Lytechinus pictus: one gene and its partner. The protein of the gene in region 2 purifies or fractionates together with the protein of the main gene of each other region. This does not show direct contact. Links are inferred from orthologs where the notes say so. Each region holds a gene or a part of one and is shown on either strand. Other genes may lie near its edges.

The links.
Region 1: the proteins of cytoplasmic FMR1-interacting protein 1 homolog (region 2) and protein BRICK1-like purify together in Drosophila melanogaster (affinity purification with western blotting; 4 studies listed by BioGRID). This does not show direct contact. The link is inferred for Lytechinus pictus from reciprocal best matches to the Drosophila melanogaster genes Cyfip and HSPC300.

Annotation. Positions count from the first base shown.
Region 1 is NC_087247.1:5,996,498-6,005,371, reverse strand, and holds the start of protein BRICK1-like, read left to right. Parts: upstream 1-4,812; 5' UTR 4,813-4,858; coding exon 4,859-4,982; intron 4,983-8,874.
Region 2 is NC_087249.1:49,435,477-49,445,026, forward strand, and holds the start of cytoplasmic FMR1-interacting protein 1 homolog, read right to left. Parts: upstream 4,156-9,550; 5' UTR 4,008-4,155; intron 1-4,007. UniProt on the Drosophila melanogaster protein: Plays a role in guidance and morphology of central and peripheral axons and in synaptic morphology. Also required for formation of cell membrane protrusions and for bristle development.

The DNA of each region.
Region 1 (8,874 bases), on a different chromosome or scaffold from region 2:
GTTATATTCACTCTGAAACAGGATCATGCACACAATTGAAGAAATCATGCTTTGCATAGTCAATGTTGCGTTTGTCCCCAACCATTTATATTACAATTTTGATTACTTTATTATACTACACATTACGTGCCTAGCTTGGAACTTTAGATATAGCACTTCAAGCAGTTTTCAAAAGTGTAGTTCTGAATTCATAGTATCCACTGTATCTTAAACTAAAAGGACATTCAAGAAGACAATAAGAAGACATTCAACTGACAGCTAAACGCTACATCATGTGGGAAATGTCAAATTCTCAGTGCCATGTACTAGAACCCTACTCTCTCTAAAAACATGTAAAAAGAGCAAAATTAATTGAAAGATAAATTTTCCAGTATGCCAAATTCACATCAAATATGAATAAGATACAAATTCATTCAATGCAGATTTAGATATTCTTTATTTGTTTATCCCACTTTCAGGTACCCCCTTATTTATTTCCTTTCTATCTGTACTTCTTTTTCCTTCCTCATCTCCCCTCTTCTTCATATTTCCTCTACTTTAATTTTCTACATGTATGTTCCTTCTTTATTGCCTCATGCTGATCTTTTTCCTATTTTTGTACCAAGATTTATATACAGTGAATATACAGTAATAATGAATTTTCCTCCTCTTTTACGTATTTGTATCTACATGTAGTTGTGCTCTTTTTCATGTGCGTGCTATTTTTTCATGTGTATACCATTTTTATATTGCCAATAATCCAACTCTCACTAATTTGCAATGAATGAATTTTAATACATTAAAGTAATTTCACATATTTCCTTTTCACCATTATGAACTTGAAGCAAAATAAATATAGAATTACACATCTCAAAGCAAGATGTTGATGAATATGCATTTAACAATTCCAGGAGGGCCTCAATGATACATCAATTGAGCGGAAATTCAGCCATTTCTAGTCTAGTCTCCAATTAATAATATCACAGCTTCATTCACATTTTTCTAGTGTAATTGTAAGTGCTGAAGAACATCAATTTCCTATTCAGAAAAAAAAGCAAAGATCACAAATATCCGACTCCAGAATGTGATGGAAGTAATGTGAAAAGAACATTCTTTCTGTCCTGGTGAATCATTGCTGCCATCGCCCCATGCTCCTAAATTACATTTTGAGGATTTTGGCACTGACTGGAGCCTCCTCTAAGTGGCACTTGAATGAAACCAGAGACGACAGTTCGCCTTTTAAAGGAGCAAATGGGAAGAAATTGAGTAACAGGTTGGAACGAAGTCTATCATTAATGTGAGGTGTTTACGTTAGAGTTGGCCCCGCTGGCCTGGAGGGTATGAATTAACAGTTCACTGTTGCAGTTGCTCAGGGTACGATTTTAGTTGCTATGGGTTACTCTTTAAGTGTTGTCGATAGTTTCCTGTAATAATGCATGGGCTACAGATGTTACCAATGTACATTAGGAGAGATTAGTACCGTAAGAATGGGTCTCGGCCTGTACAGTGAACTCTGCTAAAACGGGAGAAATATTAATTTCACTGACAAATTTGGCATTTGATCTTTGTCAATGGAATCACTGACTGCTCTATTGTACAGGTTGTAATGGATATATTCGAAAGCGGGTTAAATTTACATTCTGTCTGGTGACTAATAGTTCTACACCAGTTGCAAAAACTATGAGAGAACAAGGCAGTATGTGTACTGTATCCAATTTGTTACTAACTAGTGTTATAAGCTGTTGAATATAGTGAATGATGTGACAATGTGCAGCTCTAGGTCAAAAATTTAGCAAAGGCTTTCCATTTTTCTAAAGAAATTACATTATTAAGGCAATATAGTATTAATAATGACAGTCTTCTTCAAGATTTATTTCATTAGAAATAATATTATCATTTGATAGCTTAAAAGTTTTTTCCCCCATAATATTCACTGCTATGCATATACATGTATTATTGAAAAAAAAAAAAAAAATCACATTTTTGTTTAGTATAATGGAAAATTAATATTGTACTTAGTAGTATCAAAATCCAATCAAAGTAAATTTTAAAGAAAATAATAATCTAGGATGGCAAGTACATTAATCATTAGGAAAACAATATCAGTTAACATAGATGGTAAAATTCTCAATTCCACTGCACAATACCGTTTGGCCACTGAGATGGTGCTTTTGGTGACTTTCGAAACAAGCTACCAAAACTACAGTACATTGCAAATCACAAAGGGAGGAACACTAGTGCACTGAATGCACTCTTGGGATACAAGCAGATTCATCATATCTACCTATTCATATACCTTTATAAGTCTGTTCTTCAAAACAGATTCAATGTTATTATGAATAAATCAACCAATGCCTATGGTATTAAATTGTTGCATGAAAATAAAAATCACTCATGTTGACAAGGGGTGGATTGCTAACTAGCCATACTAGTCGTATTACACTGTATTATGGTAAAGTGGAATTGGTAGTCATTTATTATTCATTCACAGATCAGTAATTCATTAACCATTATCCTTGAATAAAGTAATGGATAATTTCTGCATATTACTGCCATAGATTAATTTGTCCCTTTTCCAGGAATTGCAGCCTGATATTCTTGTATTCACTACTAATCATTATATGTTATGTTACATACTGTACAGGGACAAACAGCAAATTGTTCATTGCTACCTCTTTAAAAATCTGTTAAAAATAAGCCTGAAGAGAGACTTTGCAAAGCAACTATTATTATTTAAGTTAAAAAATCCATGTGACTTAGACCTATGGTATTTAAAATGCAAACTTGAATCATTTATCATAACACATACTATCATTTTCAGATATTACAAACTTACATGTATCAATATTATCATTGAATTATCTACATCATCATAATCATTTTCCAAATGTTACCATAATTATCTTTCATTAATGAATTATAACTGTAATTATAATAAATATTTTTTCTATTATAATTATTGTGACCATCATTATTATCAGATATTGTTGTTAGTTATCATTATTATATCATCATAAATTATTTATAATTGTCATTTTATCATTATTATCACTATCATTATCACAAATCACAATTATTGTTTTGATAATTACTAATATTATTATCATTATCAAAATTATGATTACTGTTATCATTAATTTTATAGTTATTTTTATCAATATCATTATTATTATTATCATTATCATTATAAATCAATGCAATAATCATCACCATCACCAACATCATCATAATCATCATCACCATTACCATTGCCAACATCCTCCTCCTCTTTATCATCATCATCACCATCATCATCATGCATCATCATATTCATCATAATCACCATCATCATCACCATCATCATCACCATCACCACCACCATCACCACCACCATCATCATTACCATCACCACCACCATCACCACCACCACCATCATCACCAACATAACACCACCCTCCTCTTCATCCTCACTGTGATATACATGTACAACTAGGGGGTAATAATAAATGGTCAACTTATTTCTTCCCCTAAAGATAAACCTAAGAAAGTGGATAATCAAAGATTTTAATACTTGAATAAAAAAAACCCCAACACATTATTGGTACAGGCCTACCTAGTGATATATATTTTTTATTGTATAAACCTTACTGTTTCACTTCCTAAAAGTTTTTAGACCCTATATAGTTGTTCCACTTCCTAAAAAAAGTTGAAGTAGGTCCATCTAAAATCAATTTTTTCAAAAAGTTTTTTTTTTTTTTTTTTTTTTAAAGATTGTTCTGTGGGCCTGATGTTGCCATCATAAAATGGTGAAAAGCGGCCCATGACTTTAAATTAAAAGTAGTCTACAAGATTTTTTTTAGAGAACAAAAAAGAACAAGACAAAACCAAGTTTTACAATAAGTTCAATAACATCACTGATTTAATCAGTTTAGATAAAGAACTACATGTAAATCAAACACATACTTACATAAAGCCCGGTTGACAAAAAATATGGAAAATATATATCTCCTTTCAGTTTCTTAGAGCTATTTATCCATCATCAGTTCACTTCCAATTTCCATTTCTTGGAATTGTCAATGCAGTCAGGCCATGAGCTAGCTTTGTCTCTCAAATCGACTTGATGATATTGAAGTGCAGAAGCAAAAAAAAGCAGAACAGTGTAGATTTTGCCTGAGATTTATCAACTCAACAAGAGTTAAGAGGAGTTCAGCGCCAAAGGCAAGTTTCAAACACCTACTGTAATTTGTATGTTCGCCGCTGCTAAAACGATCCAGCGGGTGTCTGAAAGATACGTGAACCGACCAATTCGGGTGTCCGTCGATGTACAATCCGTAGATAATAATGTCAGTACCCTCGAGATCAAGTAGAGAAATTTACAAATCACTGGCTGCATTATCACGGTTCAATAAAACAGATACATATTGATGCGATTTACTCCTCATATTAGCCAATCAGGACTCTCTCTTAAAGTTTGTGTCCATCCTCTATCAGTCATAGCTTAGGCGACAATAGAGTCTGTCGAGCGTGAGCGAGCAGCCGCAAAAATCGAGAAATGAAGGATGGGTGATCGGAAGCGTGAGCTGGCGCTGATGCACTTTGACAAAGCTCTTCGGAATTTCTCCCCGAAGCTTGTCCGCATGAAGAAGGAGGAAACCCGGAAGTTTCGAGCTCTACTCACGGAAAACAAAACACAGTTCTTCTGATTTACCCATGACATTAACATTAACAACTAACAATTAATAATTTTTCGAGTATAAAATATACTAAAATATCTATAAAATAAAAATTATTCTTCAATAATTTGTTAATTCTCCTTTTAAGAGCAAATTCAGTTTTAATATATGATTTTACGATTAATACCACTGCGCGTTGACATCAAAATTGGCACTCATTTTCCAAAATGTCTCGATCAATGCCTCAATCAACTGTCCGGAATCAAATTCAAGAGGACTGGGCAAACAGGGAGTACATCGAAATTATAACAACCAATATAAAAAAGATAGCAGATTTCCTCAACTCTTTTGGTGAGTCTAATTGTATTTTTTGGTGATGAAATCATTAAAAGTGTGGGCGTGTGTGGGAAATGGGAGTGACTTCGTGTTGCCCCACTCGTAGGATTCTTTGTGTGCTATTTGTATTTAGTTTGCACATCTGGTGAAATCGACCGAATCTTTTAATTTTAACTTAAATTTGATAACGGGCTGTATCAACGTTTCAATTAATACAAAAATTATTGCTATATTTCAGAGAAGTGATTCATGGTAGATTATATATGAATACATTTTCAAACACTTCTTTCTATATTCTATTTTTACTTCTAGTTTCTAGATCAATTCATATCATATGCGTAACGTAACGGTGAATTTCATTTTCAAGTTGATTTTTGTACATTTCGCCTTTCGGCCTCAAATGATAATATTTCAATACTTTCGATAAAACATACAAATATGAATATAAATCAATAAGGATACATTCATGCATTTTTGGTTTGTACGAAGTAATGCATACAAAAAATAGGTACAGGTACGTTGCATAATTATAAGAAAAGGTAAGTAAAGAAAATATGGTTACACTTCGTAATTACGAAGGTTCGTAATTCCGAAGGTTCTTTATTCTGATGGTTCGTAAGTCCGAAACACGTAAATTGCCTATACCTCGATGTTCGTTAATCCGAAAACGTAAAAGGGTTCGTTAATCCGAACATTTGTGGCGTTATTCGGAAGGTTCGATAATCCGAAAACGAAATAAGGTTCGTTAGTCCGAAAACGAAATAAGGCTCGTTAATCATTAGTTTTCGGACTAACGAACCTTCGGAATTACGAACCTCATTTCGTTTTCAGACTAACGAACCTTCGGAATTACGAACCTTCGGAAATACGAACCTTCGGAATACGAATGTATGCGGAAAATATAATAGCGGTATAAACTAAACTAAACAAAAATAAATCCCAATCGTTTTAGGCAGTGACTAGAAGTAAATAATGGCATAACACATTTCCATTTTCTTTGATGGAGATTTAGCAATATGCATACAAAGAAAATAAAATTCTTTTAAAATAAAATGCTTGGCTTATTACTATTTATACTTGTGTAAATACATCTTTTTGCAAGAATAAGTAAGATATGATTCTTTATCTTTTTCTAGAAATCCTACAATTATGGTCTGTTCGTTCAGAGTAGAAAATCAAACATTGATAAATTCGTTCCAAAATGTTTGTACGTACATGTACATTGTAGCTATAATGCCATAGTGCCTGCTCTAAAGTTTCATAATCTTTAGACATCCCAAAGAGCATTCTGGCGAATCTTCTATTTTCATTTTAAACAAGTTATAATTAAAAAAATATAGATTATTTAGGACTTTAAACTGAAATTCTCTAGTTCTTGTATCAATGGATGTACATGTATTTAATGTTATTTTTCTAACTTTAAATAATACAAGGCTCGACATTAGCGGTGGCCACCAAAAATTCACCTCGGGCAACCATTATTGATAAAATGTTAAGTTTTGGTGGCCCGAATCGGGCAACCAATAATTTTCAAAGTAGCGCAATTTTTCTCCCAATTTTGCACGCATTTATCAACTTTCTACAGCTCAAATTGCAAGCCAGTTCGTCATGCGCCCTTTTTGTTGATCTACACACAAATACACACACACAAAGTTTGCATATTAGGCCTACAGCTATAGCATACAGTAGCTATTATCCAGCCAGCCACGCCGGCCGGCTGGCGTGAGCTTTGCATGAAGCCACTGCATACAGCTGTGCTCTAGATCTAGCTCAGCCTATTCAGACTCAGGGAGCTGCGATAAAAAATGTTGCTGCTGAGAAATCTTCCACAGAACTTTGAAAATCTAAGTCAAAGTCACCTTTTACACCAATGAAATGCAATTCTACAGTCTTTATTACGAAAATCTGGTGTACCCTGATTATTTGCAAGTATTAAGAAGAGGAATTATGACCTCTCTTTTGACTCAAAAAGACAGATTTCCACATGAATTAATACACATAAAAACACATAGGCAAGTACATCACAGTCCCACGTGTGCATTTGTATGTATGTTGATACTTGGTTTCTTTCGAAGCTGTGTATTTTCTAGCCTTAAACAAACAGACAGTTTCTTTCTTTCTTGTTTATAAATGACTTCTTAAACTACTCTTGAGAAAGCAAATACTTTGGGAAGGCATTTCATTGACATGAAATGTGATTTTTTTTCCCAACATTTTGGCAAATATAGGGAAGGACTTTTCTCACACTTTTTTTCCAGATATAGTTTTTGCCGTTTTCTTTTTTTTTCTCCTTTTTTTTTGACAGTGGTTAAACCATTTATACTCCTTCCTATTGAATATGCCTGATATAAAAATAGAAATGTGCCATTCCCAAAAGGCAAGTGAAAATTATTTGCTTGGATTTTAATTATATTCCAGTCAGAATAGACTGTTGCCACAGCTGTTAAAAAATATATGTAATGGCTTCTTAATTTTCCCCTTTTCCCCATTTTTATATTAACTTTGTTTTATTAATTTTTCTTTTCTTTCATTTTCTTTTCTTTTTTCTCTCTGATTTTTTTCTTTTCTTTTTTATCTTTTTTTCCCTGTTCTTTGTTTTTTTCTTTCTTCATTTTCTTTCTTTTGTTTTATTTCACTAATTTCTTTTATTATTTTTGTTTTCTTTTTGTTATATACTTTTTGAAAATTATTTTCGTTTGTTTCCCCCTTTCATGCATTATTCTAATTTTGCAGCATATTTTTCTGTGATTTTCTCCTTCTATAATATGCTGCAAAAGAGAAAACAGAAATAAACTGGATTTGGGGCATGCATAATCTAGGTTTTAGGATTCAAAGTGGAAGGAAGGAAAAACCATTGTTTTGTACATCTATCTGAGTTTGCTATGAACTATTTATTTACTTTACCATTATCTCTATACAGAGATTTAAAAAAAGTCCACACAACCTGCGAACAATACAATTCATTTATTCACTTTCAATCATTTCATTTTTACGACGATAGAAACAATTATCAATTAGCAAAGTAAAATAACAGCAAACAAGGTTTACATACAAGATGTATAAAGTGAAAGTAACTTAGTGGTAGTGGCTGCAGAATTAATATTTCAGAAATTTGTTTTATTCATTTTTAATGTTTGTCTTTATATTTTTCGGGCCACCAAACTTTAATATCGGGCCACCAAAAAAAATTATTTGATGGTTTTGGTGGCCCGAACGGGCCACCACCAAAAAAAGTTAATGTGGAGCCTTGAATAATACAAAATCGCTTAATCTGTACTTACCCTTTAATCGAAAAGAACTTCTCTGAAAGGATTGGGCATTACAATATCGTCTTTTAGAAAATTAATTTCATCTACCTGAAATTGAATAACATTTTGATCCCTTTTCCTTTCTGTTATTTCAAGTCATAACGTTTTAAAGAGGCATCTGATGACATAATGTGATGCCTCGTTATAACCCCCTTAATATCAAATAGGTGTTGAGAAAAAAATGATTCTTTTGTTGAGTTGAATCTTAGAATGTTGAGGAACAGATCAATTGCCAGTCTTCCAATACAGAAATATAAAAACAATGATAAAAACAATGTACATGTAGCTGTGAATGTAATACATTACTTTCAAAATTACAGTCAAGGAGAAATCTACTGCCAGCTTTCCGTGTATAAAATTTTAAAATATTAAACCAAGCTTGGTTGCTTCCACTTTTCAATCGTCAAATCCACATTAGCTGCTAAGCAGAAATTTCTGATATCATCTACCATTTCGAGTCTGCCCTCTTCAATTTGTTGAATAAGCGCATTTCTCCTGATTTTATCTTTCCCTTCCCACAAAAATTCGTAAAAAAATGGTTTCAATCTCTTTCACTACTTAGCGGGGTAAAGTGATTGATGAAAAAAGAAATATATGAA
Region 2 (9,550 bases):
TTTTTATCAAGGTGAAATTCCCCTTTAATTTACAAAACAGTATCAGCATGATCAGTGTGAAGCGGTAAAACATTCACCTGATAAGTATAGACCTATCTATAATTCATGCGGCGCGCAGCGCGTGCGGCAATGTTTAATAATATATTGCTGTGAATAGAATGAATGTCATTAAAAACATAATCTCACAGATCAAATAATGCCAGCTCGACGCTCGAGCTGAAAAAATATATTTTGTGCCCTGATAATTTTTAACCCTAACCTAACCCAATTTCTAAGTATTTTTGTATCATAAACGGGATAACTATAGACAATTGATTGAAAACTTTATATTCTTTGCGAAAATGAATATGAAGGACAACTTTTAAGAACACAGCCCGGAACACAGTTTTAGAGCGTTAGAGCGCGATTTATACGGATTTATACCTACAACCGCTAAATCCTCATGAAGCAGTTGGAACATTTAGTCCTGATTCAATCAGCTTAATAATTTTTGCAACAGGCGCCAGTCCAACAAACAGACAAACATTTGCCCAAACGGACAACATCTCAACCTCTGCTCATTTCTTTTTGCACGGGCACATAAAATCTCGACCTACCACTCACTTTTCTCACTATTTTCTCCTCCCTTTTATTTTCCATTAATTTATCTTTCGTTTACTTTATTTCTGTCCTCTTTTCCCTTCTATTTTTTTCTCGTCTCACTACTTTTCCTCATCCCCCAGCCCCCGACGCCCGTGCAGATTCGCAAACAATATCAAGAGTAGTCCGGGTAGGCAAGGGCGGAAATCTCTCCCGAAAGGTAGGGGGACTAGGGGCTGGAAAATTTGACAAGCAAACTAAAGAAAAAGGTTTATCACCCCAATTTAAAGAAGGTCATCTTGACCAAAAGAAATTTGACAAGCAAACAAGCCCCCCCCCCCAAAAAAAAAAAAAAGGGCACCCCAAAAGTAAGCTCGTCTCTTCCAAAATACATGTTTTATTTCGATTTTGAATTAAAAGACCAAAAATAGTAGAGGGGCATTTCATAATGTGCCCCGGCCCCCGACTATTTTGGGTGAGGGGGACATGTCCCCCTGGGATTTGCGCCCATGTGGGTGGGGGTGATGCGCCTCTCTTTCGGAATCATTATGGAAGAGTGTAAATACGAGTTCGCTGTGATTTCGATCTCATACCTATAAAAAAAAAAATAGAACAGCTACGCCTTGAACACAGGCAAAAATGCCTAACGATTTCTCCGCGGCATTAACAACTCTCGTAAGGGGCGCTCCATTTATAAATAAAGTTGCATATGTAGCTGTCTACCGCGACAGGAACAGCCGCAGAATTGAAGCCAGAAGCGTGGGAAATTGCCAGAAAATTCAAGAAAAGAACCGGTGAGTACCGATTTAACAGTACTAATTTATTAAGTAACATTTATTGAATCATAAGAAGATTTATTTTTTAGTAAAACAAAGCTTAGTTCTAAGCTAGGGCGGCCCAAATGCGCGTGAGTGGAGTCCCAGTTTATTAGCACGGGTAAGTATTGGGGTGTCGCCTAGAGTGACCCTCATCATGCTCATGGCTCATCCTCATCTTCATCATCATCATCTGGTACGGGATGAAGGCGCAAGCCTGTAATTCCCGGTCGTTTCTTGTATGATTGGTCACTGAAAACTACTACTTCATGAGCTTGCGTGAGGAGTCATGGAAGCTCAAAGTGTTTTTTTTGCCAAAAAATATCAATATTTCTTTTAAATTTGTCTGTTGTTGGCATTTGTATTAGGTTTTCAGGAAGACTATTCCAGTCATTGATGACTCTTCTACTGAAAGACTTATTTCTCACATCCAGTTTGCTATGGGATTTCAATAATTTCATGGAGTGACCTCTTGTAGAGTTACTACCAGACTTGGAGAAGAAATGGTCTGGAGAAATGTTGACCAATCCATGCATAATCTGGTGGACCATTATCATATCTCCTCTCCTCCTTCTATAATAGAGTGAGTACATGTTAAGTTCCCTGAGTCTCCTTTCATACGGTACGTTTCTCAAGTCCTTCACTAGTTTTGTTGCTCGTCTCTGTACTCTCTCAACCTTCTTGGCATGTTCTGTAAATCTACCGTTCCAGATGACGCTCCCATATTCCAGATGTGGTCTAATTAATGTCTTGAAGAGAATGGGCAAGGTAGATTTGTTTAGTTGAGTGAAAGTTCTCTTTACGATTCCAAGCAGTTGGTATGCCTTATTAACAGCTAGAGACACATGCTGATGAAATTTCAATTGATTATCAACTGTTACCCCAAGATCCTTTTCAGTAGCTACTGACTTCACTTCTTGTTCCAGCATATAAAATTTTGCTTCTGGATTATTCCTTCCGATGTGTAGAACTTTACATTTACTGCTATTGAAAGGTAACTGCCATTTCGCTGACCATAATTGTAGTCTATCCAGGTCTTCTTGAAGATCTTTGATCTTTGATAAGTCACTCACTATATTGTAAAGTTTGGTGTCGTCGGCAAATAAAGCAACATTACTCTTGTTGACAGCAGATGATAGGTCATTGATAAAGACTAGGAAGAGAATAGGTCCGAGAACACTCCCTTGCGGTATTCCGCTTGATACTGGAGACCATGGAGATAGTTCCCTGTTTACTCGTACACGCTGAACTCTTCCTGTCAAAAATTCTCGCATCCAGATAAGAAGTTGGCCCGTAATTCCGTGTCTCTCTAGTTTACGTAGTAGCCTTTCATGGGGAACACTGTCAAATGCTTTGCGAAAATCTAAGTACAAAACATCGATTGGCTTCCCTTCATCAAGCATCTGCGTCCATTCTTCAAGCACATACAGAAGTTGTGTGGAACATGACCGTCCTGGGATGAATCCATGTTGGTTATAATACAACAATTGATTATTTTGCAAATGATCCACTACAGCATTCCTCACAATCTTTTCCATTAGTTTTCCTGCTATCGATGTAAGACTCACCGGTCTGTAGTTAGAAATCTGTGTTCTAGTTCCTTTCTTGGGAAGAGGAATTACAATTCCCTTTTTCCAGTCAGCTGGAATTTTACCTTCATGCATTGACTTGTTGAATATGATAGATAGTGGTTCTGCAATAACTTCACCCAACTCCTTCAGCACTTTAGGATGGATCCCGTCTGGGCCAGCTGATTTATTCACATTTAAGGTTTTGATCATTTTTGTCACATCTGATGTTTCAAATCCTAACTTTTCCATACAAGGTATATCAGCGTCTACTCCGGTCACATAATCTGGAAAGTTTTGTAAGTCTTCAACAGTAAATACTTCACAAAAGTATTTGTTAAGGACATCTGCCTTTTCCTTATCAGTTTCTACTAGAGATCCATCATCTCTTCTAAGACTTCCTATCTGACTTCTACCTTTAATCTTACTATTTGCGTACCTCCAAAAAGCCTTAGGATTAAAGTTGATACTTTCCACTAGGTCATCTTCAAAGACAAAGTTACGACTGGCTGCTCTTGTTGCCTTTCTTAGCTCATTTCTTGCCTTCTTATATGAATTTAAGTCTGCTTGTTTCTCGTCTTCATTTCTATAAACACTTTTGGTATAGCGTTTCCAGTTTCGTGCTTTTTTCTTAGAAAGTTTCAGGATTGGTTTAGTAATATAGATGTTCCGTCTTTTGTCTTTACTACATTGTCTAACTTATGAAGACTAAGCATCTTGTCTTCTTGAATCCTTGATTATAAATTTTTCTCCTCATTAAAGCTATAGTGAATTGGGATATCAAAACTTAAAATGCAGACTCTGAGTCTAACTTATGAAGACTAAGCAAGTGAGCAAGAGTATAATAATAACAAGTTTATGCTTTCTGAAAAACAATGGCAATGCAACACAAGTTTATTCAGAACACCACACAAAATTGCACGTCTGGGACTGTTCTCATTATTTTGATGGAAATAAATGTTTTCTTTTCATAACGTATGGAAAAAGATTTTTGGTGAATCAGAACGAAAAACATCAACCCAAATATTTGGATAGATAAGCTTACCAAATATATTGTCACATGAAAGTATGAACAGCCATCGCTGGAAACTGGAAAGCGAATCCCCGGAAGCTTTTCGCCCTGCCTATCCCAACATGGCGAAAACAACGCTAAGAGTGCAGCGGCGCCGCGCCGCGCTAAGCGAGCGCGCGGTGTATGTCGCGTCGAGGAACTAGTACAAGTACCGGTATCGAACGTTATAGGGCGCGGCCAATGGGTGTGGTCATCGGACCCCATCGGTCATCATTATTTAGGTATAAAGCAATTGACATTATTATGTACGGCCTGGTACCACAAACCCAATTTTTAAGTCCCTATCCGAGATCCCCTGTGTCTGCATGAAGCGACCACCAAAAAATATAAGAAGAAATCGTCGCATTTTCCTCCCCCCCCCCAAAAAAAAAAATGTATCGGTAGGCCTAGTAATAACTTTTGGATCAAGGGGGGGGGGGGGGTAGGCCTATTATAAAGAATAGGTATCATGCTTGAATCTAGTGCAAATTAAAGGACAAGTCCACCCCAACCAAAAGTTGATTTAATTGAATAAAAAGAGAAAAATCCAACAAGCAAAACACTGAAAATTTCATCAAAATCAGATGTAAAATAAGAAAGTTATGACATTTTAAAGTTTCACTTAGTTTCACAAAACAGTTATATGCACAACCTGTTCGGTATGCAAAAGAGGAGACTGATGACGTCATCCACTCACTATTTCTTTTGTATTTTATTATAATGATATATTCTAATGTTCTCCTCATTGTCAAGTGAAACAACGATTATACAATTCCTCCCTGAACATGTGGAATTAGCAAGGTTCAGTAAACTTGGTCATTATTGTCAAATCTGTGAAAATGAAATATTGTATATAATTATTTTATAATTCAAATAATAAAAACAAAAGAAATAGTGAGTGATAGACATCATCGACTGACTCATTCGCATGACACTGAGTTGTGCATATCACTGTTTTGTGAAATACAAGCGAAACTTTATTAAAATGCCATAACTTTCTTATTTTACATCCGATTTTGATGAAATTTTCAGCGTTATGCTGGTTTATTTTTCTCTATTTATTCTAATCAAAATTTTTCTGGGATGGACTTGACCTTTAAGGACTGGCGCCCAGCGCGGCTGACCTGAAAACCTGTAAACGGGACAATCATGTCTTGAGCACTTTTTGTAACTGAACAGGATGCATACCTCACTAAAGCGCGAGCAGAACCATTTTCTGAACCAACTTAAGAACAGGGTCTAATTAACAATCAAAGAGAGTGTGAAGAGCGATTCTTCCCTGAGCCCCGGCCCCACCCATTTCTTTACTTTTCCATTTGTTCACCCTTTTTACCCATCTCCCTATTTCTGTGACTTATTAGGCCTCGCCATGTGGCCACTTTGGTCCCATGGATTCGCTATGCTGCGATAATACAAAGTCAAGTTCTCAGAAAAGCAAAAGAAAAACAAGCTACAATAAGAAAAATAAATGGATCATTTCACGAATTGAGCACCACCAAAGTGTTGAACTCGAGCTGAGCGACAACTATTTAGGGGGAAAATTCTAAAATCTCATGCATTATAAAGGTTACGTCCACCACTGTGACAGAAAAACGTTGATTTGAATCAAATCAAGCATAACGCTGAAAAAATCATCAAAATCGGATGTAAAATAGTTCGGTCTTTGTTCTTTTATTGGGTTCCTCGTCGAAATAAAATGATCATTATAAAAACGCAAATTCATTCACTAAAATGCCCCTTTTTATAATTATCATTCACCCCATAACAATTATAGGACAAACAAATTGCAGAAATAAATATTGAACAAAACTTTGGGGATTACCGAAACCTAAAAGAGGCGAAAGTGATGGCCATCATCAATATCTTTCCAAATAAACTTTATCTAATTTGATTGAAAAAAAAAAAACAATTTAATTCAATGGCTGATGAAAGAATTTCTGCTTTAGCGCCATCTCTGTTCATTGTGCAACAGCTTGCTCAGCCAGAAATTTCGGTAATAAATTTCTCACTGACTTCAGCGAAATTTCTATCATATCTATGGAAGACAGAAATGAAAACAAAAGTAGATAACTACATTTTACTCATTAATTATTACACTAAGTTCCGACCCTTTTAATTACCCATTGTCCAATGTCTTTACAAGTACATACATGCAGTTTGATTAAATTTTATGTACATATTTTGAAGATCATTTTGTTTCCATGACTGTATTTGTACATGGCTTGCCTGAGACCTTTACGGTATTAATGTTATGCACGATCGTAAAATTTATTGTACATTTTTTGGTTACATGTCAAAGTTGTCAATTTCGGAAAATACATGTATGTGGAAAAGGTATGCCTGAATGAAACAAAATAGACAACCCCCCCCCCAAAAAAAAAAAATAGACAACCCCACAAAAAAAAAATTTCTCAAAGACAGCTATTATTTCCCTCTATTCTCGTCTTAATTTTCTTCTCTTCACTCTTTCTTCCTCCCCTCTTTTCTCCATTTTCTTTTCGTCTCTCTTCCCATTTTTCTTCTCTAACTCTTCCTCTTCCCATTTCGTTTTCTTCACCGTTTCTCGCATCTTATGTTTCAATTTCTCTACTCGGTACAATTCCCACCCTTTTTCTCACTTTTAATTTCCTTCTCATTTCATCTTTTCTTCTCCCCTCTCTCCCTTCTTGTTTTATTCTTCTATTTCATCATTCTAATTTTTCCCTTCGTCCTCTCATTTTTTATCTTTTCTCTGTTTTTCCCATTCTTCTCTCTCGTTCGTTGTTCTCCACTTTTACCTCTTCCTACTCACTTTCCCCCATTTTCTCTTCCACATTATTCCTATTTCTCCTTCCTTCTTGCCCAACATCCTGCTCGCTTCCAACACATCAAAACAATTAACAAATACATGGACACAGGGTAAAACAGATATCGTTTTGTACAATTTATGATTTTTTTTATCATTTTATTTTGTCAGATGTTGTTGTAACACAAAATGTCGACACAATATTACATCCAGCACACAGAGAACCTGTAAGGGCTTTTGGGAGAAATAAATGTACTAAAACATTTCAAAAGTTATACGGTCATTTGCATATTTTGCAATAGGACTATGTAACAGGGTATATATGTGGATAACTGCGTGCAGGGCATAGGGATTTTGGTTAATACCATACAGAATCAAAATTGGCATCAAATATATTAATTCTGGAATGTAAAATTACAACTAGGTAAAAGGAGTTATATATCAAACAATTTCAAACTTAAAAGACAAATGTGGGAAAATTGGTTTTCATTAAAAGTATTTTTTTTCTGTTGAGATTTCTGTGTTGAACTAGTGCAGTTTAACGCCTACAAATATTTATATAAAGACGGACTGGTCAGTTCAATAACATTAAAAAAAGCATAATTTATACTCTTGTCTAGTATACAATTATGCACTTTATTTATGTCACTGTTAATTTATGCATGCCAATCTATAACTTTAGCAAGATAAAAAAAAATCCAGAACCATACATATATTTTGTGCAGTATTATACATGCTTTTTAAGTTAAATAATAATTTTGACAGATAATGAATGAATTTCAATGGAATGATATAATCTCTTTACAGTAATACAATGCAGTCCCTGTTTTGGGTATATAAATAAGATTACAGTAATGGAATTTATCATTTCTTGATTAAATACATTTTTTTTTTGGTTTTCCTTTTACCCCTTATATCACTGGGGATTCATAAAAGTCACTGTGCCTGGAGTAGAAACAAAGAGTCATTTATATCTCTTTTTTTTTCAAAAATGAAATGCATAAAAATGTTCCAACCTTCAAAATAAACAATTTCATTCCATAAGTTATATATGAACAACAATAGATTACTCTCTTCATGTACAATACACAAATGAACAAAGCGTATATACCGACATTATATGCCATGTACAATAAAAATACAACAGTAACACTATCATGAAATATATCGGTCATTTTTTCCATCTCGGACCCCCCCCCCCCCCCCCCCATTTGCAAGGTGCTACATAACATAGAACCCCAACTACAATTAACCGGAATAGCAGCAAGTTTAGCGCTCGATACATATCCCATAAATTGTAGAAAAATACAGTGTTATATTTTTCAAAATACCATTAACTGATACAGTTCAATTGAGATTGACATTTCAAGCTCCCCAACTCCCCCCCCCTAAAAAGAATACTATCAGTATTCATTTAAAGCATTAACAATTAAATCAATATGGACAATTTTACACTTCCTGTTGGAGTGTTGGTATGTACAAGGAAAATGTGTTGTTTTTCAATGCAGCAAGTTTACAAGAGGCAGTCCGAGAGTAAAAGGGATCATTAGCTATGTAGCACCCGCTTCATTCGAAATATGCATTTATATACAGCAAAATTGTGTTACACCACACACAAGGCTTCAAAAATGTTATGCTACTAACAGTGTATTTAGTGACAAGACAGAGGCTTTATATAGTTAATGAATTTCATTTTTTTCCTCTAAGAATATTATTTTTTGAGAGAAAAAGGCCAGAAATATTCCAGGACTAGTAAGGCCTGTATTACCAGGCGAAGTATTTAATCGGAAGTCTAACATAGAATACAAATGACGAGAATGCCTCTTGGAACACATTTTCCAGAGATGAGCATCTTTTACAAAGTGTATTTCAGAACTACCTTTTAAAAGAAAAATTGTGTACCGTAACAAGTCATAATCAATGTTAACATGATTGTCCAATCTGATAATCTACTGATAAACTCCCCAAAAGTCTAACACTACAAAAGTCAATCTCTTAAAATATATTCTTTGGTTTTGATATGTTTGTACGGACAGGGGAGTGGGAGAAATAGATCTATATGTAAAGAATAAAACATAAATTTCTTGGAAAAGGGAAACGTGGGGTGGTACAACAAAAGCAATAAATAATATCACTTATCTTATAAGTCTACCAGTACATCAGCTGCTTTTTTGAGCAAACACTAGATACTTTTGACATTTGAAAATTAAATACATGGGGATAAGGTACCTCAACCCTGTCAACTTTACTGAGTTTCCAAAAACACGTACGAACGAAGAAAGTATTGCAAGTACCACCGATGAATACATAAACAGGAAAAAGTAATAAATAATCACATGGAAATAAAGATAATAGTATAGAGGGGGAGGTATTTTTCATTCAAAATTCATTATCCTTTTTTGCTCTTAATACAAATATTCTTTTTTTTATGTCATGATGAAAATAAATGAGTTTTTGAGATGACAATTAAACATTTGAAAAGAAAGCAAAATATTTGATATAAAATTCTATCGAGACAGCAATATGGTCTTTTTCCCATTTTCGAGTGACCACATTGACATGATAAAGGCAATAATATGGACCGTGAAACTATTCATCACATCCAAAATCTAAAGTCTTCATCAATAAACATCTCCCGAACCCAGATACGATGTAAAAATAGAGACAAACTGCAATCTTACTCCACATAGAACTGGTATCACAAAACAGAGAAACACGAAACAGCCTTTGTACAGTATTTACAATACAAGCT